Nothobranchius furzeri: one gene and its partners. The protein of the gene in region 3 purifies or fractionates together with the protein of the main gene of each other region. This does not show direct contact. Links are inferred from orthologs where the notes say so. Each region holds a gene or a part of one and is shown on either strand. Other genes may lie near its edges. The genes, in order: edrf1, hgh1 and ttc4.

What was found.
Region 1: the proteins of ttc4 (region 3) and edrf1 purify together in Homo sapiens (affinity purification with mass spectrometry; 3 studies listed by BioGRID and IntAct, counting the BioPlex papers as one, with this or other methods). This does not show direct contact. The link is inferred for Nothobranchius furzeri from reciprocal best matches to the Homo sapiens genes TTC4 and EDRF1.
Region 2: the proteins of ttc4 (region 3) and hgh1 purify together in Homo sapiens (co-immunoprecipitation; 4 studies listed by BioGRID and IntAct, counting the BioPlex papers as one, with this or other methods). This does not show direct contact. The link is inferred for Nothobranchius furzeri from reciprocal best matches to the Homo sapiens genes TTC4 and HGH1.

What each region holds. Positions count from the first base shown.
Region 1 is NC_091752.1:32,213,072-32,221,064, reverse strand, and holds part of edrf1 (erythroid differentiation-related factor 1), read right to left. Parts: intron 7,562-7,993; coding exon 7,495-7,561; intron 7,405-7,494; coding exon 7,279-7,404; intron 7,200-7,278; coding exon 7,075-7,199; intron 6,995-7,074; coding exon 6,847-6,994; intron 6,720-6,846; coding exon 6,618-6,719; intron 6,542-6,617; coding exon 6,420-6,541; intron 6,112-6,419; coding exon 6,000-6,111; intron 4,856-5,999; coding exon 4,708-4,855; intron 4,620-4,707; coding exon 4,508-4,619; intron 4,422-4,507; coding exon 4,310-4,421; intron 4,213-4,309; coding exon 3,928-4,212; intron 3,815-3,927; coding exon 3,743-3,814; intron 3,612-3,742; coding exon 3,470-3,611; intron 3,353-3,469; coding exon 3,161-3,352; intron 115-3,160; coding exon 1-114. UniProt on the Homo sapiens protein: Transcription factor involved in erythroid differentiation. Involved in transcriptional activation of the globin gene.
Region 2 is NC_091743.1:78,687,223-78,695,757, reverse strand, and holds the start of hgh1 (protein HGH1 homolog), read right to left. Parts: upstream 5,578-8,535; 5' UTR 5,415-5,577; coding exon 5,305-5,414; intron 2,459-5,304; coding exon 2,320-2,458; intron 2,248-2,319; coding exon 2,110-2,247; intron 1,473-2,109; coding exon 1,321-1,472; intron 1,128-1,320; coding exon 1,027-1,127; intron 1-1,026.
Region 3 is NC_091748.1:68,232,061-68,240,775, reverse strand, and holds the start of ttc4 (tetratricopeptide repeat protein 4), read right to left. Parts: upstream 5,429-8,715; 5' UTR 5,289-5,428; coding exon 5,178-5,288; intron 5,096-5,177; coding exon 4,978-5,095; intron 4,899-4,977; coding exon 4,737-4,898; coding exon of another isoform or gene 4,722-4,736; intron 4,653-4,721; coding exon 4,575-4,652; intron 4,278-4,574; coding exon 4,153-4,277; intron 4,045-4,152; coding exon 3,958-4,044; intron 3,786-3,957; coding exon 3,544-3,785; intron 3,235-3,543; coding exon 3,150-3,234; intron 2,863-3,149; coding exon of another isoform or gene 2,788-2,862; exon of another isoform or gene 2,660-2,787; intron 2,415-2,659; coding exon 2,332-2,414; intron 131-2,331; coding exon of another isoform or gene 124-130; exon of another isoform or gene 1-123. Other genes in the region: pars2 (probable proline--tRNA ligase, mitochondrial), read right to left, coding at 6,510-7,391, 7,459-7,704, 8,483-8,715.

The DNA of each region.
Region 1 (7,993 bases), on a different chromosome or scaffold from region 3:
TGTTGCTGACATTCTGAGCCAACATCAGCTGGATGTCTCCACACAGCGACAGGCACTGGCTGTGAAGTTGCAGCACTTGTGAGTGCAACGTTGCACTAATGGAACAATAAGCATCTGAGGACAAAAACAAAAAGGAGAGCAGATGGAGAAGTACTGTATTTTCACGACCATAGGGTGCACCGTGTTATAGGGCGCAGCTTCAGTTACGGGTGTCTTTTTGGTATTTAACACATACATAAGGCACATTGGATTTTAGGGCGCGAACGCGGTAAAACATACCGGTAAAACATCTGTGCGGGCTCGGGACGGAACATGTCAGTGCAAACCAGACATTGTGAAAATTATAAACAGCCAAAAGCATGCTTCACTTTACTGTCTAGCCCTGGTTCAGACCTGGTTTAGAGCGCACGTGCACTTCCTCATTGCGTGTGCTGACGGCTCGTACTCTTCTAATGGGCTCGACACACGGGAGGCAACTTCGCCTCTCCTCCATTCATTTTCAATGAGACATGCGCGACAAAGCGATAATCGCGGGTCTCCCTCCAACTAAAGCCGGGCGTACACCGGGAGTGCTGCCGGAGGACACACAAGGATTTATGGGGGTTGGATGAGGAAAACGAAATAAAGAAAGTAAATCTGTTTTGTGATCAGGTTAATTTGACATGAACACGACAAACACGCTTTCTTGACAATCTTTGTGAGTAAAAAAATGTGTAGAAAAATAAACGAACAGCGTGTGTTATTAGGGAAATGGAGGGCGAGCGGTGTTGATGCAGGATTGCGCATGCGCCGAGAGCGGTTCCGGTACTTTTTGGGTCGCAGCGCCGCTTCAAGCGCTGATGCGCTGTGTTGAAGTTCAGAATGTGTTTACCGGTAGTTGTTGGATTTAACCACATAAACTTTCCACATGAACAAAATCATATGTGTGTTAGTAATAGGCCTAAGAAAACAGTGTGATCTGAATTGTGTTTTATTAACCCTCTGAGGTCCATGAACGCGTATCTGCGTCTTTTGAACAGGCCTGATTTGGGACGCTGTAGCAGCAAGACTCCGCCTCCCTGAGTTTCGGTTTCAATCCAGATTTAAAAAGGAGATAATAAATACACCCCAGTTTTTAAATTGTGTTAATAGGCAACGTAAAAGCGGAGTTATACTAAACTAAAAACGACCTCTTTTTAGACACTCTGACAACTTGTGTAAACAGCAGTTTAGTAATCCGTGAGAGGGAATGTGCTTGTGAACATAAAAAAACCACAAAATAGGGTTGTCACGGTAACCGGTATAGCGGTAAACCCCGGTAAAAAAGTTGACAATAAAAATAACCGTCCAGTTTTTAAAAAACTATATTATCTCGGTGGGTTTACCGTGGCCGCGGTTTTGGCGCGATGACCCTTACCAGCCACCGTCGCTTCAGCTGAAGTTCCCGCGGCGCGCACACGCACTTTTTAGTTTGCAACGGCACCAAAACTTTGAAGCTGAAATAATGGCCGAAGGAGGAGACGGCAGCGCCCAGGACATCCATCAGCCCTCAAAGAAGACTCAATCGGAAGTATGGGCATATTTGGGATTTCTGAAAAATGCTGAGGGACAGTTAATAGAAGACGGCTATCCCGTTTGCAGAACGTGCAGGAAACAAGAGTCTGCAAAAGGCAGCAACACTTCGAATCTAATGGCACATCTGCATGACCATCACCCACGTCTCTACAGCCAGTGCAAGGTAAGTTGACATTAGCATTTTAGCTTAAATGCATGACGCGAGGACTTTTGGCTGAGGGAGAATGCAACGAGTCACTATATACTGCAGCCGCAGCGTCCTCTGCCAGCATTTACACCGTGTCACGGACACCCTGTTGTTGGATGAAGCATCTTATTTGTTGATGATGAAGAGAAATATACAATTAGTTCCTTGTCATTGATTTGTTTACTTATTCAATGCCATTCATACTTGAACATTTGGATTTGATTACATAGTGTAGTAGTTATTTTAGTAATTTGTTTAAAGTGGCTATTTGTTTTAAATACATATTTTTTAAGGTTGACTTGTACAGTGCTCAAGTCAAGTGTGGACTGGAGTTTTAGATTTTCATTTTGATAATGAAGAAAACAAGTATATGAGAAAACAAGTGGTGTTTCTTTGATTTGTTTTCATATTGTTTATGTTTTGAATGTTTGGATTTGTATAATTTAAACCTGCACTGACTACTGTAACATGTTCCAGAAAAAGAAGCTATTTGTTCCTTTACTTGTGAAAAGTTGCACTTTTGCTAAGGCTTTGTGTTATTTTAGGTTTAATAAACACTGTTAAACCTTTTCAAAACTATTTCAGTTTGGGTAGAACAGGACTATCAATGCTTTCTGAACATATGCAACACCGTTTAAAAAATACCGCGATAATACCGAAAACCGTGATAATTTTGGTCACAATAACCGTGAGGTTAAATTTTCATACCGTGACAACCCTACCACAAAAACATGAGATCCTTTTGCTGTTGGTGGAAGTCTCACATATCCAATTGATAAAAAGTATCATTATGTAGCTGAGAAAGAGAGGAAGCTGCACGAGTAACGAGCTGTGCACAAAAAGGAGCCGCTTCGCGAGGAAAGGAGTGGCACGAACGGAGTAACAACAAACAGTTAGACAGATATTGATGGTAAACTTCATATTTTGGAGCGATCTGGACAGATATATTGTTGCTGCAGTTTAGTAGGCTTTTATTAGGCTTTAATAAAGGATGATGAGAAGGATAAATGTCCACCAGGCAGTTCAGATAGCAAGGCTGCTTTTGAACTGGAAGCAGAGGAAGTGGATGGAGACTCGCAGCCGGAGTCTGAGGCAAACAGCGAGGATCTTGATGACGATGTGGCAGATCCACAGGTCTGTCTTCGCTCACGTCCGCACGTTCACACCACGCCCCTTGTCTTCTACTACGTTAACGTCTCACAACAACACAATAGGCGCACCGCACCATAGGGCGCGGCGTACATTTTAGAGAAGATTTAAGACTTTTAGGTGCGCCTTATGGTTGTGAAAATACGGTATGTATCGATACTGGATGTTTAAATGAGGTTGGTATTTAATCACAAGCTAAATGTACTTTAGACTGCAATTCAAAAAAAGGATAAAACAAGCAAATCCATACAATTACACACGTAAACTCACCGTAACATTGCAGAGAAAGCTTGATGTAGCGTAGAGCTCGCCCGTACTTCAGCAGGTTTGTGGCTGCATCTGACAGCACGTAGTACGCCTTGCACGCTTTAAGAAAAAGCTGCAGCTTCATACGGTGCTGCCAGGAGCCAGGGATCATCCCCGAGCGAGTTGGGTGCTTCTGGTCCACCTGTACATACCCTGCTGGAAAAAACATCATAAACAGGTCACCCTTTAGCCATGATGCATTTCCATTTCCTGTTTTATTTTGCATCATGTTGTTTTGTTTAAACAGTGATGAATTATGAAAGGTAGACTGACCTCTTTCCAGCAGAAGGGAGATGCTTTTCTCAGATGTTCCATTAGCGCCTCCATCCTCATATTTAAGGGGAATGGGTGTGTTCGGGTCTGCAGCTGGGAGATCGCTCTCCTTTTTGACGCTACTGTCCACAGCCTTCAGTCCCTGTTCATTACCAGATTATGATTTTATTGAAAGTTTATTTGTCTGACTTATAAGCACCGTGCAGAATAAATCTGACATAATCATTCAGATCTTTTGCTCCCCGAGACTGAAACCACTTGTCTAGTTATTACCTTTAAAACGTAGCTCAGGACGTGTCTGCATCGCTCCTCCTTGTCTTGAGAAACAGGAAAAGCACAACTTGGCTGCAACAAATGTAAAAAATAAACAAACTTACTTCATTATTATTGTGTGTAATCTCCACTCTCCTCCTTTCACTGCGTGGGGAGACAAAGGCAGGAAGTAACGAGTCACTCACTCTGATCTGGTGAGTTGATTTGTATTTCTCAGGAACCGACAGCTCCACCACAGAACGAATCACGGCCACCGCCTTACTGTCATCCTGAGGCCTGGAGCAGTTACTATAGGATCCGTTCTCATCGCTGTCCTCCGTCAGATCATCCTCCTCCCCCTCTTCTTCCTCCCTGTCTTCATCACTGTAGCTGTCTTCTAAGCCGCCGGCCCGCAGCGACTCCCCGTCTTCATCAGGAGGCTCATCCAGCCGGAACAGCTCTGACAGCATGTAGTAGACAGAGGCAATGATCTGGGAACAAGGGCATCGGGAATGCAGTTGAGTTCGTTCACATCGACGTGGTTTCACTTGTCGATCCCAAAAACAAACCTTAAACCCCCACATATACCTGAGGATGCTTCTCCTCATCAAGAAGTTTGATGCAGTTTAAGAGCAGAGTCCTGATTTTTGCGTAGTGCTTTCTGTTTTGCCTCACCTTCAGCATCAGGTTGCAGGCCACTCTGCAGCACAAATGAGAAAAATGACAGCCTCTAACGCTTAGACACACACTGTTGTGCAAATCCACAGGATATCACAAACCCCTCACTTGTATAATAACACAGCAACGGGAAGAGTGAAGGGATTCTGGTGTTTCTCTTCTTCTGCCTCCTCACATAAAGTAGTGAGGTCATAAAGCTTCACGATGTCACTCCCACTGGCTGAAGATGCAAGGTGAGACAGTTGAGTCATTAGATATACATAAATATGGAGTAAGCATCAAGCAGACACAACGGTGTGGTTCTCCACCTTTAAACAGCCAGTAGGTGTGGCCTTCTTTAGTGCAGTTGGACTTCAGGAAGGAGAGGATGTTCTGGGCGATGTCTTTCACCACCCTCGTGGAGAAAGTTGAATTCTCCAAATGAGGGATGTCTTCTGTTTTTATCATTTCATATTTCTGAAAGGGAAAAACGTCAAAACCGAGAGAATTAAAAATAATTCAATCACATTAAAAGCTGGTGGGCCGTAAATCGTTAACGATAACAGTAAGTTTTCTTTGCTCAGGCAAACACATTTCTCATATGCCAATTAGACGACATCAGCATGTCAGCTGCGCTCACGTGGATCTCCTCACCATTTGTAGTTCTTAAACATTAACTACAAAACACAGAAACACCTAATTTTGCAAATAAATATTCATGTATTCTGTTCTTCAAAGTAAAAGTTGAGCAAATCTTTAAAAGATTATGCTAAAACAGTGTTACGGAGGACCATGTCACTTTGTTGCTTGTGAAAGCTGACTAACAATCTTTACCTTTTTAAAAGGGACACTTTGCAGTTTTGGCTTGCTTTTAGCACCTGTGTCCAGTTAGTAAAAACAAAAGTGAAACCTATCTCCTCGCTGTGTAACACCTTAAATCTAACTGCTGAAATGTCTCCTCTGCCTTCTACAGAAGTGATTCATCACTAAATTAAACAAATCAGCTGTGTTCATGATCCAAAACATGCAGCAAACATGACGGAACCGGACTGCAGCGCCAGGCATGTCAGCTCCTCTTTACTAAAGCTAACAGGGATCGGACTGGCACTCCAAAGTTGCAAGTGCAATATTCTGGCCACAGATCGCGGTGAGGATTGAGTGACATTTCATAAACCCTGTAAGGGCCATTTTAGCACATACTGGCTCAGGAAAATAATTTAAAATTTTCTAAAAGTTGCAGAGTATGCCTTTAATTCTGTTGTTGCTGAATTGATTAATTATTATTCATTCACTGTAGAATTACATAATGTTTAGGTCAATAAATGTGGAAAGAATGGAAATGCAGAACTGAAAATGGAGTTTTGTCCAGCATTGCGGGTTTCTGGTTCTGGCAGAAGATACCTGAGGGGAGGGCTGAGTGTTCCAAGACCGTGTTTGCGTTCAAAAACTAGCTTGTTTGCAGATTTGCCGTAACAGCTTTAAATTACATGATCAGTATGTCTCTGCTGAATATTGTTACTGAGCTGTAAAATAACCACCCTGCATGTAGAATCTGCTGCTATATAAAAGATTGTTTCTTCTTCTTTTCCTGCAATATCCCTGAAGAGACAGTAAACTGTACCTGAACAATGCCATTGACATGAAAACACATGACCAGCTCCGGGACGTTACACATCAGATTGTCCAGCCAGTAGTCGATGCCTGTCAGAACGTTGATTGGTTTATTGCTGTCCCTGAAAACAGAGAGAGAGTCCAAAGTGAGGGCTCAGCAGCCATGTGACCATTTAATCAGTCAGACTGAGCAGCAATAATGTGTTGGAGAGGCTGCAGCTGCTGCATTCTCACAGTCAAGTGAATTAGAAAAAGACTTGGACCCTCCATAATAATCTCAACCCAATGCATCTTCCTTTCTGCTGGTCTGTGCATGTTACACACACACACACACACACACACACACACACACACACACACACACACACACACACACACACACACACACACACCAATGTTTATTTGGGATAAAATGGCTCAAATATCAAACCTGAGTCTCAAGCTGACAGCAGGATAGCGACCGCCTCCGAAGATCGGCATGTTGGACCCAACTAACATGTGGATATCCTCAAACGTCCACATGATGTTTCGTACAAAATCGTTCCTTAAACCCTGTAAATGATCACATAAAGTACAGCGTGTATGACAGCACTCATACAGTAATAACATTAAGATGTTTTGCATTTACCTGACTGTTTTCCCCTTCGTTAAAAAGAGTGGGGAGGTTTTGCTCTTTGGGTACCGACGTCACCTGACCCAGAGCAAACGTGCTGTCCACAGAAACGCTTTCCTGCACATTTAACAGCAACAGTGTTTCATTCTTCTAATAAATTCTAGCAACTGTTCCTAACCGTGTCTATTATTGAGACAATAACCTGACATAAACACCGACAGCATTGTGTGTGCAGCTCAGCTACCTGTTTGGGCATATCTGATTCTTCTGCGTCAGACATTGTGCTGGTGAAAGTGGCAGGCCATGTGGAGCTGTACTCCTCGGCTTCATTCTCCTCATCTTCTTTATCAATGTCATGTGACACAGGCTCTGCAGCCCCATCACCGTTTATGCTACCAGAGACATAGATTATTTATACTGAGAATGATGCATTAAGCTCAAGTCAATCAATGAAGCAAAGCTATTTACTCACCTGTAGTAGAGGAACTTGGATAGGATGGCTTTCTGGTACCAGTTCTCTTTGCTCTTCTTTTTTCTTTGCCATTTTTGATCTATTAGTCGCTGATAAATCTCTTTGAGCCAGGTCCAATCCCTGGTCTGTACAGTATAAAGCATGCTAAAACATGGTCGTGTAAATAAATATTTTAAAGAAGCTAAATGGAAAACACATTTTTACCTGTGAGGATCTGCGTAAGAGTTCCTGAATGTCCAACTCGTCCAAAAGCAGCGTCCTTCCAACGCGGTGAACAGCCATACTAACATGCGACTTGCTGTAGGGAATTTTCAAAAGCTTCTTGATGTTCTTAAATGAAACATAAAAACAAAATTAACATCAGCTGTGTGTAAATTTCTGAAAAAGAAAAGGATTCAATTGTCTTAGAACATCACCAACCTCAGAGTCTGAAACCACATCAACATCATCTCCGATGCAGTCAATGAAGTCATAAGCCATCCCAAAACTGAGGAAAAAGGCAAAAATCGATCCATTACATTTGTTTGATGATCAAATAATCTCAAGCTGAAATCTCTTGTTATTAGCACTTCAGACAGGGAGAGATTATAGGGTTTGTTTACATATATATTTTCATTAAAAACTGCAACATGACATTTTTAGACTATTTCGTTTTTAGAATATGGTCGTGTAAATAAATATTTTAAAGAATATTTATATATATATATATATATTTTTTTAAAGAAGCTGACTATGCTGCACACAGGCATAAGGCATAACTAGAGACGTTTGAGAAAGAAAAAAAAGAGTTTAGGTTTGGCACTGGCACTTATGCTTCACAGCAAGAGATACAGCTCTGCAGTCACCTCCAGGCTACCAATATTTAGCTAAATTTGACAGGACAGGACTCCTCTTCGCAGTTAATTACTCAGATACCATT
Region 2 (8,535 bases), on a different chromosome or scaffold from region 3:
ACTCCCTAGTTGGGATCCTGCCTCCGCGACCCGGACCTGGATAAGTGGAGGAAGACGACGAGACGTCTTGCGCCCCTGGTTGCAACACTAGGGGGGAGTGGCACTGAGCTGCGATGGCCAAATGACGCTGCTTGATTATTTCTAAATAAATATAAATCTTCAGAAAGAACATGACGTGTTCTTTTCTTACACAATTTAGTAAAAGTTATTTTTCAACACATGAAAAATAGAGCGAGAGGGAAACAAGTCGAAGACACATAAGAGCAGCCAAACAAGAAGCAGAAAGTACAATAAAGACATCAGCTGTAACAGACCACTGCACAAGGGGAAACCACATAATGGACTGAGACGGTACACGGATCATAAACACAGAACAACAGAAATATAAAAGATGGATCAAAGAAGCGACTGAGATAAGGAGACGTGGACACGGGACCATAAACAGAGACGATGAAACATACACATTGCCTCTGTCAGCGCCCCAGGGCAGCTGTGGCTACATCGTAGCTCATCACCATCAGTGTGTGAATCTGTGTGAATGGATGAATGATACACTGTAGTGTAAAGCGCTTTGGAGTCCTTACTCTGAGAGGCGCTATACAAGTGCGGGTCATTTATCATCAGGCATGGGACTGTGTCATCAGCAAGGAGGAGGCGGGCAGTAGAGGGCGACACCGTCCTCTGCTGCCTGCGGATAAAAGGACGTGACGCCACCATCATCGGCGATCTCTGAGGATGGCTAGAGCTACTAACTGGAACATGTCAGGTAAACAAATAACTTTTACTAAACTGTGTAAATGTAGGTCTAGATTTTATCATCTAAGCATCCCTCAGGAATCCCCGCACCATCTAGCTGATCATCTGCAGTCAGATCAGCAGCCCAGATGCTGCTGGAGATCCTCAAAAATCTGAGTCAGGTGTGTGTGTGTGTGTGTGTGTGTGTGTGTGTGTGTGTGTGTGTGTGTGTGTGTGTGTGTGTGTGTGTGTGTGTGTGTGCGTGCGTACGTGCGTGTGTGTGTTTCTTACTGTGGTCAAAGCAGCAGTTACGGAGAGTCCCAATAACTCCGCCCCTTCTCACAACTGATTCCTTGTACTGGGTGAAGGGGAGTAATCTCTGAATCACATACCTGAAACACACGCACGCACACACAGCCCTCAGTTCAATCTAATAGATGCTTCATTAGGTGTGTGTGTGTGTGTGTGTGTGTGTGTGTGTGTGTGTGTGTGTGTGTGTGTGTGTGTGTGTGTGTGTGTGTGTGTGTGTGTGTGTGTGTGTGTGTGTGTGTGTGTGTGTGTGTGTGTGTGTGTGTGTCCAGCCACCTGTCCCGGTCCATCATGTAGGTTCTGGCCTGGGGTAGCTGAGTCAAGTTGGACAGGAGAGGACCCAGGTAGTGCATCTTGGCTTTCTGATTGTAGTTTTCATCACAGAAGATTGCCACCAGTTTAGCCAGACCAATGTCCTCCTGCAGGACCTGAAAGAGACAATAACAACAATTACAACATTAACAACAACAACAACAATAATAAGGGATTCATTTTATAGCCCTCATTATTCACACACTGCTGGTGCTGGTAAGCTACTATGTAGCCACAGCTGCCCTGAGACGGTCTGACAGAGGCGAGGCTGCCATTTGTGCTATCAGCCCCTCTGACCACCACCAACATAGGCAAGTGTCTTGCCCAAGGACACTACAGAAGAGTACCCTTGCGAGAGCTGACATCATCCCACCCATCTATCCTGTCTTAGCTTCCCAACACTGGCTGTCTGTTAAATTCAGAATAGATTTTAAGATCCTCCTTCCCACATATGGCCCGCATTTACTTTCATTTTGAATAAAGTTGCTGGTCAGAGCTCAGCATTAACTCCCTACGTCATCAAGACACCTCCTTCTGCTGCGCCAAGGCACAATCTCCGTTTATAAGACTGACAATTACCACAATATTACTACCAAGCGAGGCGGAACAAATGCCGCAAAAAAACAAAAACTAAACACCAGTTTGGTTGGAGTCCTGGCTGGTTTTACTGGTCAACAGGCTGATGTCCATCACACATGGTTAATCATTAAGTGGGCCCACTTCAGCGTGGCTGTATAAAGATGCTAGAATGACCTCAAACACCGTCCTGCAGGTCTTCTCGTGCCGGGTCAGGTTTGACAGAATGGTGCAGATCTGATCGGAGAACAAGTATCCTGGGTCCAAAAGGTTCTTCAACAACAGTGGAAGAACTTTGACCTTATTCACTATAACCTGGAGAACACAAAGACAGGTGAGAGGTGGTAACCAACTACAGAGGTACCGAGACCCAGAACCAAGACTCACCTGATGCAGCGTCTCATCGGCAGACAAGTTAATGAGGATGTGGTAACAGTCCTTCACTATAGCAACAGATGGGTCAGAGGTCAGCTCCACCAGCGCGGCTATCAGCTCGGGTTTGGAGTGGAGGAAACGGCACCCGTCTCTGGAAGCAGAACTCCAGCTGTCAGTGCAGCGCATCAGCCATGTCTAAATAATTATTCTTGCCAATGTGTTTAGCTTTTTTGTCAAGTTTACTGATTAGAAGAAAACAATAAAGAAAGGTGAGATATTAAGGGCTGCATGGCAGCGCAGTTGTTAGCACTGTTGCCTCGCAGCAAGAAGGTTGCAGGTTCAAAACTCGGCTGTGCTCTTCCCATGCATGCAACAATGCGACGCGGCACAGGAGTTAAGTGCTTGCCCCGTAATCGGAAGGTTGCAGGTTCGAGCCCCGCTCAGTCTGTCGCTGTCGTTGTGTCCTTGGGCAGGACACTTAACTCCTTGCCTGCTGGTGGTGGTCTGAGGGACCGGTGGTGCCAGTGCTCGGCAGCCTCGCTTCTGTCAGTGCGCCCCAGGGCAGCTATAGCTACATTGTAGCTCATCCCCACCAGGGTGCGAATGTGTGTGTGAATGGGTAAATGACTGATTGTGTTGTAAAGCGCCTTGGGGGGTTCCAGGACTCTAGAAGGCGCTATATCAAATACAGGCCATTTACCATTTACCATGCATGGGTTTCCTCTGGGCACTCCGGTTTCCTCCACAGATCACAACATGCCCTATAGCAGGGATTCCCTAAGTGTGGTGCACGCACCCCTGGGGGTACGAGAGCTGCCGCTAGGGGGGTGCGCGAGGTGAAAAGTGTAATGGCTGCGCAGCTCAGAGAAGTCTGTCATATGTCACCATTAGCGTAGCCAGAAACTCATTTGTGGGTGGGCCTAAGAAAACATAAGTGGGCACAAAAACATAAAAACTTTTAAGAGGTTTTATAACAACATTTTTCATTCCAGGTCAAATTAAGATATTAGCTTCTATTTTGGGATGACGTATTAAAGTCGGTCCGCTCCAGCCAGTGACTTCGAACCTGATCACAACTCATGTTACTGCAGCATTTGTTATTCCAGTCCACGTGGCAGCGGATCGCAGATTCAGCCACACCATAAAAAAGCAACAAGTCGGTCTGAGGCAAAAGTGAACCTCATGGCTATATCTTTTCCATATTTTCCCCTATAGACATTTGATTACGCACAAGTAGGTGGCCAGTTCAGGTTTACGCAGAGCAGAAGGAAGGAGAGCGCTCTGGCCGCACAGGTTAAACGTTCCTAATTTAAGAAAACCATTAAATTGCATTGTGTGCTACCTGGGCACTCTAAATATTTATTTAAAATTAAATCAAAGGAAATTGTAATGGTATCAAATGTTTATTAATTACTATTTAAAAAATGAAAGTGATGGGGAAAAAGGTCGTCATATTTTTTTAACCCTGTCTGTCGAGTGACTGTTTAGCTCGACGTCTGATATATATATATATATATATATATATATATATATATATATATATATATAGCCATGCCCTGATGTGGGGGCTGGGACACAGAAGGGGGTGCGTGGCTAAATAAGTTTGGGAACCGCTGCCCTATAGGTTAAGTATTGTACGTCACTTTGGATAAAATAAATAACATAAAATGTTCTTCACCAGCCACCTAACCTCCATTCTCTCCCTCCTAACGTCACCTCTACGGTTTCCAACCATGGAGTAAAAATGGACCCGGTTCTGAAAATGAATGCTCAGTCAAGTCCTGCTTCAACCTCCTTGTTTTCTAAATTAAAGCCCAACCTGAGTGTCTGTCTTCTAGAGTCAGTGATTCACACCTTCATCACATCCCAGCTGGACCACTCCAACTCCTGCTTGTACAGCATCAGTAAAGCTGCTCTGTCCAAACTTCAGCTCGTCCAGGACTCAGCAGCAAGGTTTCTGACTGGAGCTGACTTATTCTTAAATCACCCCATTGGTTGCCCATTCTTGCATTCAAATTGCTGGACAGTAAGGCACCTCCCTATCTGAGCAAACTCCTTCATTTCTACCACCCTCCTCGTGCTCCTAGACCTGCAGATCAGCTCCTCCTCACCGTCCCTAAGGCATGTTAGAAGATCTGCGGGCCTTTTTCTATCTGTGCCCCAAAACTTTGGAACACACTACCTCTCCAGGTTAGGCTAGCGCAGTACTGAGCAGCATGGATACATCAGAGGACTTCGCTGTAGTCGGTGTTCAAAGTGGATTAAAGACAGGACAGGATATATAATCAATCACATATACATAATATTAGAATACCGTGAACATGTAGAGATACTTTATCATGCAGTTGTTTGTCTGCTGTTCTTTGTACAGTCTTTATGAACACATATATTTGCACATTGATCAAAGCAATAATCCCTTTTCAGTTTTTGCCTCAGTGGCACAGAATCTGAGTCCAACACTGGATGATTGTACATGTTTTCATCTCTAGTCTCATGCTGCTATTATAACATCTTATACAATATATTTGTGTCATTACAACATCCTTGCTATAAATAATATACAATCTCTATTCTATTCTTATTTTTCTTTGTGTGAATCTGTTTTTCTTAACTTACCTGTAACTTTGCTGCCGGTGCACCAGAATTTCCTCAATAAGAGACAATGAAGGGCTTTATTATTGTTATTATTAATATTATTATTATTATTATTATTCTCACCAGCCTGTAGCTCTACTTTTTTCTCTAAACGCACCAGACTGATGCTTTTTAATATGAAATGTCCAAAGCTTGCTACGACCCTGCCAGCTCGGTATGGGTTACAGCAGGTTTTGTTGTTATGGGTCTAGGTCATGGTCTAGGTCCAGACGGAGACCCTAGTGTGGTGTAGCGACTGCTCTACAGACCTATTACACGTGCACCGATACGCCAGTGTGACGTCACTGGCATCAGCAAGCTGCTGTTATGCTCAGGTGAGCTGCGGATCCAGCAGCGACTCACCTGTGAGCAGACAGACCCAGCAGCGACTCTGTAGCCACGGCCTTGACATCCGGACGGGTCCCGATGGTCAGGAAGGACCGGAGCTCCGCGGCTTCACCGTCACTCAGCATCCTCTCCTCTCCAGTTCGGTCGGTCCTGAACAACCGAACCGCTGCACGAGTTATGTTCAGTTCTATAGAATCAGCCCACCTTTACATATATGCTTCACACACGTTCCGGTAAAACCCAAAACCACACGCAGAAGCAAACATGACTGGCAATTCGTCACTTCCGCCTTCTTCTTTGCGATGTTTTTGGTCGTGTCAAATTCTCTTATCGTCCGCCCCCTAGCGGCCGCTGGATGAACGCCTGCTCCAGTGGAACCGGTGGAAGCTGGTTCAACTCTGCAGCAGAACCCCTAACCAGTCAGACAGAACCAGAACTTTACAGAACAGCTGTTTGCTGCATAGACATTAAAGGCCCAATCCGAATAGTCGCCCTGCCTGCGGTCTCAGCAAAGTGCACTTGGTCAGGGCCGGCTTTGCCGACAGGCGACACAGGCGCAAAATTAAAAAAAATTTTTTTTTAAGTGTATTAAATTTATGTTTGCAATATGAAATGCACTCTCTATATGCTCAAAATTCCCCTCTGAAATGACATGAAATTAAAACATCAATATTTAAATTCTAATGATCTGGCTGCATGACGAGCTCCCGCTTGGGCCACCGCTCCGATGCATTTGACCGTTAAGGGTGCCGTAGATCACGTGCGTGGGTAGCACTGTAGAAGGACATCCTGTTGTCGCGTTTAAACTTTTGATATCTTTTACAATGAAAATAACACCTAAGCCATCGGGATCAGCATTCCGAAAGCGAAGGAAGGAGGAAGAAAAAAAACAGGCACAAAGCAGAGGTATGTTGACTTTATAAATTTGGCAAAGAAACTTTGTGCGTTTCCCTTGTAGCTAACTGCCTCTCCTGCCACGCACAGTCCACGGACGGACCCTCGCTAGCTGTTTACATACACAATACAGTATCTCATAACTTTAACCAATTAATTTTACTTTTGAATCGTCGTGTCCAGATGCAGTGAGACAATATCTGCAGCCACGACAGGCACCTGTTGACACCACGGGGGCGGGACTGGCTTCTACACCTGTTGAGTCTCACTGTGAAGATGAAGAATGTAAGATTTTTTTTACCGTTTTTTTGGAGTATGATTGCAGCCTTTTTATTAACTTTGTTTCAAGTTTTAAGTACAGGTGCTGGCCAGTAAATTAGAATATCATCAAAAGGTTGAAAATATTTCAGTAATTCCATTCAAAACGTGAAACTTGTACATTATATTCATGCAATGCACACAGACCAATGTATTTCCGATGTTTATTACGTTTACTTTTGATATTCATAAGTGACAACTAATGAAAACTCCAAATTTGGTATCTCAAAAAATTAGAATATTCTGAAAAGGCTGAATATAGAAGACACCTGCTGCCACTCTAATCAGCTGATTTACTCAAAACACCTGCAAAGGCCTTTAAAAGGTCCCTCAGTCTTGTTTTGAAGGCACCACAATCATGGGGAAGACTTCTGACTTAACAGCTGTCCAAAAGACAATCATTGACACCTTGCACAAGGAGGGCAAGACACAAAAGGTGATTGCTAAAGAAGCTGGCTGTTCGCAGAGCTCTGTGTCCAAGCACATTAACAGACAGGCGAAGGGACGGAAAAAATGTGGTAGAAAAAAGTGTACAAGCTCTAGGGATAACCGCACCCTGCAGAGAATTGTGACGACAAACCCATTCAAAAATGTGGGGGAGATCCACAAAGAGTGGACTGCAGCTGGAGTCAGCGCTTCAAGAACCACCACGAGGAGACTCATGAAAGACATGGGATTCAGGTGTCGCATTCCGTGTGTCAAGCCACTCTTGAACAAGAAACAGCGCAAGAAGCGTCTCGCCTGGGCCAAGGACAAAAAGGACTGGACTGATGCTGAGTGGTCCAAAGTTATGTTTTCTGATGAAAGCAAGTTCTGCATTTCCTTTGGAAATCAAGGACCCAGAGTCTGGAGGAAGAGCGGAGAAGCACAGAATCCACGTTGCATGAGGTCCAGTGTAAAGTTTCCACCGTCAGTGATGGTGTGGGGTGCCATGTCATCTGCCGGTGTTGGCCCACTCTGTTTCCTGAGGTCCAGGGTCAATGCAGCCGTCTACCAGGAAGTTTTAGAGCACTTCATGCTTCCTGCTGCTGACCAACTTTATGGGGATGCAGACTTCACCTTTCAACAGGACTTGGCACCTGCACACAGTGCCAAAACCACCAGCACCTGGTTCAAGGACCATGGTATCCCTGTCCTTGATTGGCCAGCAAACTCGCCTGACCTTAACCCCATAGAAAATCTATGGGGTATTGTGAAGCGGAGGATGCAATACGCTAGACCCAACAATGCAGAGGAGCTGAAGACGACTATCAGAGCAACCTGGGCTCTCATAACACCTGAGCAGTGCCACAGACTGATCGAGTCCATGCCACGCCGCATTACTGCAGTTATTGAGGCAAAAGGAGCCCCGACTAAGTATTGAGTGCTATACATGCACATTCTTTTCATGTTCATTCTTTTCAGTTGGCCAACATTAGAGAAACAAACATTTTTTCATTGGCCTTTAGAATATTCTAATTTTCTGAGATACCAGATTTGATGTTTTCATTGGTTGTCACCTATAAATATCAAAATTAAACGTAATAAACATCGGAAATACATTGGTCTGTGTGCATTGCATGAATATAATGTACAAGTTTCACGTTTTGAATGGAATTACTGAAATATTTTCAACCTTTTGATGATATTCTAATTTACTGGCCAGCACCTGTACACATACAATATGAAATTAATATTTTCATATCAGAAGAACGTTAGGTGTGGGTGTAGCAAAACTTCAACTTTGTCCGACACATCGGGCGGGCGGCACCGCCGCGGCCGTGGCGGGGACTCCCCCGCTACCGCCGGGCCCGGCGGGGAGTGAGCAAATGGGCTTGCTTGACCTCGTTTCAACAGATGTTTCTTTAATAAGATAATGGTTGAGGTTGGACTAAGTGGTTTTCCAGATGACGTTGTCCGTCCACACCTGTTTATCGAAGCTTTTTCGGCTGTCGCTTCAACAATTGTGCAGATAATTGTAAGGTTATGAAGTTCATTATTTTCAGCTCCACACAGCTGCCCCCTGTGCACAATAACACCGTGTAGAAAAACCAA
Region 3 (8,715 bases):
ATAAATTAGACTTAAGTGGTAAAGTTGCGCTGCTGTTAGCCAGTCATAGGCGAAATGTCCAAATATTAGGAAATAAGTCTCCAAATCCTGTCGTCTGAAGCTCTCCTCTGAACTGGCCAACTTCTAGATCCTGTAAGAGAGTAACCAGAGCTTTTTGTACCCAGAGTACAACTAACAAGGAATTCATTCCTACTAGAGACCACTGCACATGTATTGATTAAACAGGTGAACCACACCTTTAAGCAATTAAAAAGTCTTAAACTATGAAATTAGGTTAGGGTTAAGCTGGATCACACTATGCGATTTGTGGCCATCTTAGCCAACTCCCTCGTCGGGGGCATAACCGTGTAAAAAAACATTGAATATGAGGGTGATTTTCATTTCCACATCCAGTCCGACTAGCTCTGCGGCAGCTTTTTGAGCCGTCTCACGACCCAAATCAGCCTCCGACAGTCTACAAACATGCTTGAAAACCTACGACTACTGTCTGCAATCGACCAATGAAAACACACCTTTGGGATGCTGCAGCAGCAAGACTCCGCCTCTCTGAGTTTTGGTTTTAATGTATGTTTAAAATGCAGATTATAAACTACACAACAGTTTTTATTTTTTGTTAAAGCTGCTTTCAGGAGTTTTCCCTTTTCAGAAATCCGTAAAAGTGATTATCTCATCATGTACTGTGGTATGATGTAAGCAATGCGTCCTTTTTTGTTTTTTGCTAGCACGCCCCCTGCCCCGCAGAGCTCCGTGCAATAGGAAACTGAGCGCCGACCAGAACTAACCAATAGCGTTAGACTACCGCTTAGATGCTTCAAATTTAAGGAATACCTCAGCTGATGTTGAGTTGATGAACCTTTCACGGACAAGTAAGTCTTTAAAATATAAAAATATGAAAACACAACATGACATGAGAATAATACTCGTAAAACAACGTGTTTTACCTCCGTTTGTTGGCTACAGAAGCACATTTATAAACAAAAATCGTGAAGTCGCCATCTTCGGTTCCAGAGACTATTTGTGTGATATGCTTGTCAGCCAGCATAAGGTGCCATTGTTTAATAGAAATAATCCAGAAAGAGACTTTAACCCTCTGGAGGCAGGTGTTGCAGATTTGCAACGTTAAAATCTACCTACCTGGTTACTCCACATGCGTATTTCATGAGCATTTTTTAAATGATAAATGACCCGCACTTGTATAGCGCCTCTCAGAATAATGACTCCAAAGCGCTTTACACCACACTACGACCACCACCAGCAGGCAAGGTGGGTTAAGTGTCTTGCCCAAGGACACAACAGCAGAATTATCTGTCCTGGAGCCAGGATCGAACCTGCAACCTTCTGATTACTGGACAACCCGCTCAACCTGTTGAGCTACTGCTGCCCCCCCCCCCCCCCCCACACACACACGCACACACTCAGAAGTACCCCTGAAGGACTTAGTTGTTCGTCCTTTTTTCCAAAACTTATTTTGAGCCTGAGAGGGTTAAGAGCCCAAGTTAAGCCAGAGTTATGCTAAAATAATTACACAATTTTTTTAGACCGACAGCTGAATTATGAAAACCGTGATTCTTTGATCTATGAGAGTGTGATAGGAGATGTGGTCACAAACCTAAAAAATCAAACACAAAAACATGAGATCCCTTTTCTGTTGGTGGAAACCGCACATGTTCAACCAACAAGGATGGTTCAGCAGCGTTTTGCTGCAGAGGAACACAGGACGCTCCGCTCTGTGACAGCGGGTGTGATGAGGCGTCACGGAGCTGCGGGGTAAATAGTGAGACAGATATTGGAGTGATCTGAGATAGATTGTTACTTCTCTGTAGTTTAGCAGGTTTTTATGTATAATGGAGAAGGATGAATGACCAGAAGACAGATCAGCCGTTTAGCTGAAAGATGGACAAAGGAGACCCAAAGCCAGAGTCTGGCGCCAAAGCGAGGGTTTTGAAAATGACCCTTGTTCTGAGGAAGATGAGCGAAGTGTTACCAGCGGTGCTTTATTTTATCTTCAGCTTTGTTTTGGTTAGCGGTCTGCTTAGGAGGTGTCCTGTTGGAGCGACTCAGAAATCTTGCGCCGTACAGCGTGCCGCCTTTCTGGAGTTCTCACAGCGTGACAAGAACCGTGTGATCCGGGCTTTAACCAGAAATCTGATTCACCTTTTAACAAACCAAAAACCTGCAGTAACCATAGCGATGACACTAAATTACATTATAACTTATAAATGGCAAAAATGATGTCAGAATGTAATGTAAGCCACAATAAAAACAATGATTACATTTAACAATAAATAGTAAGAATTTAGCCTAAACTCAGTTTCTTAGAAATAAAATCACCTTTTATGCTGCAGAATCCTCAAGAGGGACGCATCTGGATCTACTTGGTAGAGAGTCTGTTTCACCTCATCCTCAAAGTAGAGCTGAAAGTACAAAACAGTAAATTACCTTCGGTCGGACTGTTGATGTTTAATCCCACTGGCGTAACTTTGTCTGTCAATGCGGATTTTAACTCCATCAGACATTTTTCTACATATTATAATTATAGAGAATAAACCTCCTTGGTTAAACTTCTCAGAACTTTAAACTCAAAGGAATTAAATAATTTATAGTTTAAGAAAAGTACGTCATCAACTACCTTATATGTTTTGGTCTGTTTCCTTCCTGCTCTTAGCTTTACTTAACTCATTCACTGCCACTGACGACTAAAGTCGTCATTTGCATTTTTTTACTGTTTGAGCATCGGAACGAGCCCCCGCGCTGAGAGAACATGCATCTCAGCCCTGAAGCCGATCTTCATCCACATACATCACAGATCACATGATCAGGAAGCAACACATCCATGTGTTTGGAGATCGTTTTGGGCCGTTCCTGTAAAAAAAAAAAGAGAGGCGCGAACCGGAAAAGCATCTGCCAATCACAATTCGACAACGGGTTATGAAAGAACGGATAACGCTCGAAACACGCAGACTCTTCCTGATGAAAGAGGTGAGTCTCCTCTTTGTTTTGGTTGTTTTGGCATCGACATCATGCTAGCGCGCAACGTTCTGTGACTCTTAAAAAAACAGTAAAAACGGTGAGAACCGCTGGCAGCGAAGGCCGTTAGTGATCAGGAAACGGCTGGCAGTGAATGAGTTAAACATCACAAAACTAAATACCTGCAGATTCTGGGGGTGGTATTTTCTGTCTGTGTCCCAAGGTGGAAGCTCTTCTCCAAACATGACGGTCAGGTGGTCTCTAAAACTAAACAACCATTAAAATGTTAAAAAGATAGTCACATTTGAGCAAAGCATGAATTCAAATCATCAAATAGCGCCACCATGTGGCCTTATAAGCATTTTCTTACTAACAAATTCATAACATTTTTAATTTTGCCAAACTAACATTTGTAATCTTGTCATGCTCTGTATGATGACAATAAAGAATTCATTCATTCATTTTAACAGCTTCTCTGATTTCTATAACTCAAATTTTCTTTTTGGTCATTGTTGCTTTTTCAAAATGTCATTTCAGACTAAATTAAGATAAAGAAGAGTTTTTAGTTTTTTTTACCAGGTGTTCTCGCAGAAGGCCGAGATAAAATCAGTCTGCTGATGTTCAGGGTAGAGAAAGAGAACAGGCCAATGCAGCAGGCCCTGCTGGTCTAGGAAAACCTGAGCCCCTGTGACCTCCTGGGAGCTCAGGCCATCCAGACTCAGCTGGGCGATGGCTGCAGGAGAGCCAGCATCCTCATCATCACTGTTTGAACCATGCACACGTGTCCCTGCAGGCGGCAGAAGTTTTATACCTCGGTCCTGTCCGCAGATCACAAAAACACATCCGATGATCATAAACAAATATGTGATTTTATATCTCATTCTGTAATGATGTGATCCTAGAGAGCACATGTTGTGTTTAATCAGGATGATTCAGGTCATGCGAATATTGTATGTTTGTTTTAAGGTTTAAAAATAAGGATATTTTTACCTTTATAGCAACGAGAAGAGCTTCTTTCTCACCATGTAACTTCTTTTCTTTGGCCTTGGCTTTTCTGGCATCTCTCTCTGCTGTTCTCTGTAGACACACACACACACACACACACAATATAGGTTTAACTTGATGCATTCATCTTTTAAAACTTTCACGCATAGCTCACCAACAGCAATAATAAAATAATAATACTTTGTGTTTCTCTGCTGCTGCTCTCAGCTCCTGCAGCTTTTTGTCAGTGGGGTGGACCTTTAATCCCTCATCGCACCACTGGACAGCCTCTGCAAAGTTACGCAGCTCTATGCAGCACTGAGCTCCTGCAGGACCACAAACACAATCCAACACCGTCATTATCAATGCAGAACACCAAAGCAGACATTTAGAATAATTGACGTGTAACTGTAATAATTTACTATATGTTTCCTCTGGTGTTTGGCAGCCACTGTGTTGTACTAAAAATAGCTATTTCTCACTGCAGAGATTCCACTTCAATGTCATTTGACCAATTCTTGCAAATACAATCAAAAATATGGAAAGAAACAAATCCATTTGGCTTTTTATCAGTACAGTTGTTGTGATTCGTTACTTTGTGAGCAAAGTATTAGCTTACAGACCTCTGATCAAAGCTTTGAGGTGGTCTGGTTTGATCTTTTTTGCAGCTACAGCATCATTCAGTGCAGAGCGCATGTTACCTGTGTTAAAAAATATCAGTGCACTTTAATATTTATGTCTTGACACAGGTGAATGAACGGTGAATGTACCATGAGACATTATACCCAGATGGAAGTGTGAAGCGGCTCGGTTCGTGAGAATTACAGCCCTGAGCTCCTCATCCCCACATTTCACCTTCAACGCTGCTGTGTAAGACACGACTGCCTGTTTGTAGCTCCTCTCCTTAAAATAAGCATTTCCTTCATTTTTCAGGCTTTTTGCTTGTTCTGATGAGGAAACAAAACATGTATAAACTTTAATATGTGACTGAAGACTCATTCTGTGTTCGGATAAGGACACACTTACCTTCTGGAGGTCGGTCTTCATCGTGGATCATGGACTGGAGACATGCTAGGTCTGGGTATTCTCGTGGGTTGATGTTTTCAGGGGCTTCTTTCATAAACATGGGTATTTTATCGAACTCCTAGAAGAAAAACAAAAAAACTAAATAAATCTCGATATTAACTAACGATCTGTTGAAGACTGATGATGAAAGTCTGAGTTACCTCCTCCCAGGTGTCTTCATTGAAGCCCTTTTTATATCTCTGCGTCTTGAATTTGTCCATGAATTCGTCCATCCCGTCGTCACTGTCACTCTGAACCGCCGTTGACGCCATTTTGGCTCAATTTAGCGCTAAAACGCTGTTTAGTGACGTTAATATGGAATAAAGACTATAAATGTATCTACAGAAACCGAACCCACAGCCAAAAAAGCATAAACGCAGCCTTGTTTACGCATGTGTTTCTGCGCTGCGCGTTTATTACTAGTCCGTGCGGAAACTTAAACCCGAAATATTGGTTCCACTTTCAGAATAAACCACTTACCAGTGTAGTTTGTTTAAAAATATCAAAATTGGAGAAAAACATTTTTTTAACTTGGACTCCAAATATTTTATTTTTTCCGTGGAAGGGTAAAAAACAAAGTATGTGATTCAGGGTGTGTAAACAGTGTACGCGCCACTCAAAATTATTTTAAATAAACAACGTAAACGATAAATGACCCGCACTTGTATAGCGCCTCTCAGAGTAAGGACTCCAAAGCGCTTTACACTACAGTGTATTATTCATCCATTCACACACACACTCACACACTGATGGTGATAAGCTACGATGTAGCCACAGCTGCCCAAAGTGAAACTCAGTTTTTTGCTAATTTTATAAGCAATGTTAAAAAGGCTATCATGCAATAAGTCCTATTAACTGAATTCCATGATCTCTCAAAATGACTTGCAAAAGTGAACCTTTATTACTAAAACTTTTAAAAAGGTTTATGATAAAACTGTATTCTTGTGTTTAAAGTTTTTCTTTTAACATTGACCATTTCACCACTTGCTTGTTTTGATGGGAAATTCTATTTCCACAGAACTAAGATATAAACTTAGTTTATCATGAGTGATTTGATTAATTATCTCCCGCTCTTATTGTTCCATTTCCCCACCTTTATAATAGCTGTATCTTTTTCATGGTTTCATCTACAATTATCAAGTTCATAAATAAAGATAATGAAAGACAAGGCTAAATAATAAAACACCTCTTTTGTGGAGCTCCTACATATTTCTTTATTTCAGAAATACATTTAAACAAGCAACCGGTACCGGGAAGAAAAAAAAATGTAAAACTATAAAGCTGTGCCTTTATTTCTCTTCTTATTGAGCATATAAGAAAAAAAAGCATTAATCAATCCCAGAGACCTTATCAAGCCATTTTTAACAGCAAATTTACTCGTTTGTGAATAAAACCTATGTAATGTCTAGACAAAGTCTTTAGTATTCTTTGGACTTCAACCATCAAAATAAACAATCATGACAATTCTTACAGGATCAGCTGTTAAAGTTTTGTTACACAGTTTCCACTCTTCCCAGTAGATCCAGGAGTCCATCCTTACTGAGGAACATAGTCTCACCCGTCTGCTGACACACCACCTCAATCTTTGGATTTTCCTCTAAAGCCACCTGTCCTACTACGATGACATAAGGGTAGCCCAGTTTATTAGCATCCTTCAGCCGCTTTCCAATGGTCATGTGTGTGCGGTCATCAAGAACAACTTCACCTCTCAGATGAGGAACAGCTTCTCCCAGAGTCTGAACCAGTTCTTCTGCAAAGACTGCCGCCTTATCTACCCTACTGCCCTTCTTAGGGGGCAACACACAAACTTGATATGGAGCGATAAGACCCGGCCAGCGGATCTCTTCCTCTGTTGACATCACCTCGATGGCTGCAGCGAGAATGCGCGTCACCCCAAGACCGTAGCAGCCCATCTCTGCAGTAGCAGGCTTGTTCTGGGCACTGCTGAAGGTGGCTTTGAATATATGGGAGTACTTTTTACCCAAATAAAAGGTGTGACCTACTTCTATACCCTTTGATTCTACCAGTGAGCCAGTGTTGCACTGTGGGCAGTCGGTTCGGCCTGATGACAAAGTCTCCGCATTAGCGGAGAAGGAGCAGCTTCCACAGAGCAGCAGATGGTCCTCACCAATGTCTGCCGGCAGCTGAAACTCATGTGAGAGAGTACCGCCGATGTTTCCCGTGTCTGCCTGCACCTGAACGCAACGCAGACTCAACCTGGCAAAGAGTCGAGAGTATGCTTCACACACAGACTCGTACGTCTGGTTCGCAGCTTCTTCGCTAACATCAAATGAGTACATGTCCTTCATGTAGAACTCTCTCCCTCGCAGAAGGCCAAACCTTGGCTTGGGTTCATCTCTGAACTTCCTGGTGATCTGGATTTGAAGAAGAAATCTCAGTAAAAAACCCACAGCTAGTGACAGTAACAAGCTGGAGGCTTACTTGGTAAAGAAGCAGAGGCAGCTGTTTGTAGGACAGAGTCGTCTGATGAGCGACAAGGGTCGTCACTGCCTCCTCATGGGTGGGACCTAAGCAGTAGTCTGCCCTGTGGCGGTCTTTCAGACGGAACAGCTCCTTTCCCATCAAATCCCAGCGCTCACTGGCTTTCCAGAGATCAGCTGAGCATAAACTAGGCATGTCTAGCTTCTGTCCACCAATCTCATGCATCTCCTGGTCAATCACTTTAATCTGTTGAATAAAAACTCCAGTTATAATTGAATAACAACCAAATAAATACAATTATTCTCTGTTACAGCAGTAATTTATTTTTTTACTTGAAAACATAAACTGGATTGTCAATGTTTGGACACTTAATCGCATTTTCTGTTATTGTTATTTCTTCCAGAGTCTAGTGGTGATGTTTAAATAGTTATTCTTCATACCAAACACAGAATACATTTCCTTTAATTATGTTAAAACGTGCAGATAACTTTTCAAATCCACACTTTACCGTTGAGATGTCATCATCTTACTGAACGTCCTCATCGGGCTCCATTCAAACAAAACTTCATGCCAAAAAGTTCTGTTTTGATGTCAATATTCAACACGACCTGCTTTATTGTGTTTGGAAATGTAGCTTCTTTTATAGTTGTAGCAATTGGTACAACTGTTGCCTTGCAGCAAGGAGGTTGCAGGTTTGAATCCTAGCTGGGCCTTGCTGCATAACGTTGCCATGTTTTCTCACTTTTGAGACAATTGTCCCCAGATGTGATACAATGTGACTTTACGTCCCTGTGACTGACTGGAGACTTGTCCTGAGTGTCCCCCACATCATGCCAGATGACTAGGCACCAGCTCCCTCCCTCCTGAGGAGCTAGCATTTAGGATATTACTTTATTACAGAACAAAAGCTAATTTAGAGCTCAGACCTCAGAATTTTTTAATTTTTATTTTTACGCACAAAAGCACGATAAAACCCACAGAAACAGTTGCTCAAAAACATTTTGTTATGCAAATGAAAACCCACCAGCTTCTCCATGGAGCGCACGGCGGCAGGAAGGTAGTAGTAGCACCCTGGGTTGGATGGATGGATGAGCCCAGCCTGCTGCATGAGTCTCTGGCTCTTACAGGTCATCTGCCCCGCCAGCCGGCTCTCCTGACCCACATCACGCAGGTTCGAGGGCTGGTACAGACGAGACACCAGGAGCCTCGGACGGACACGAGGGGACGCAGAGACAGCTGCGTGCTCAGCCTGACCTG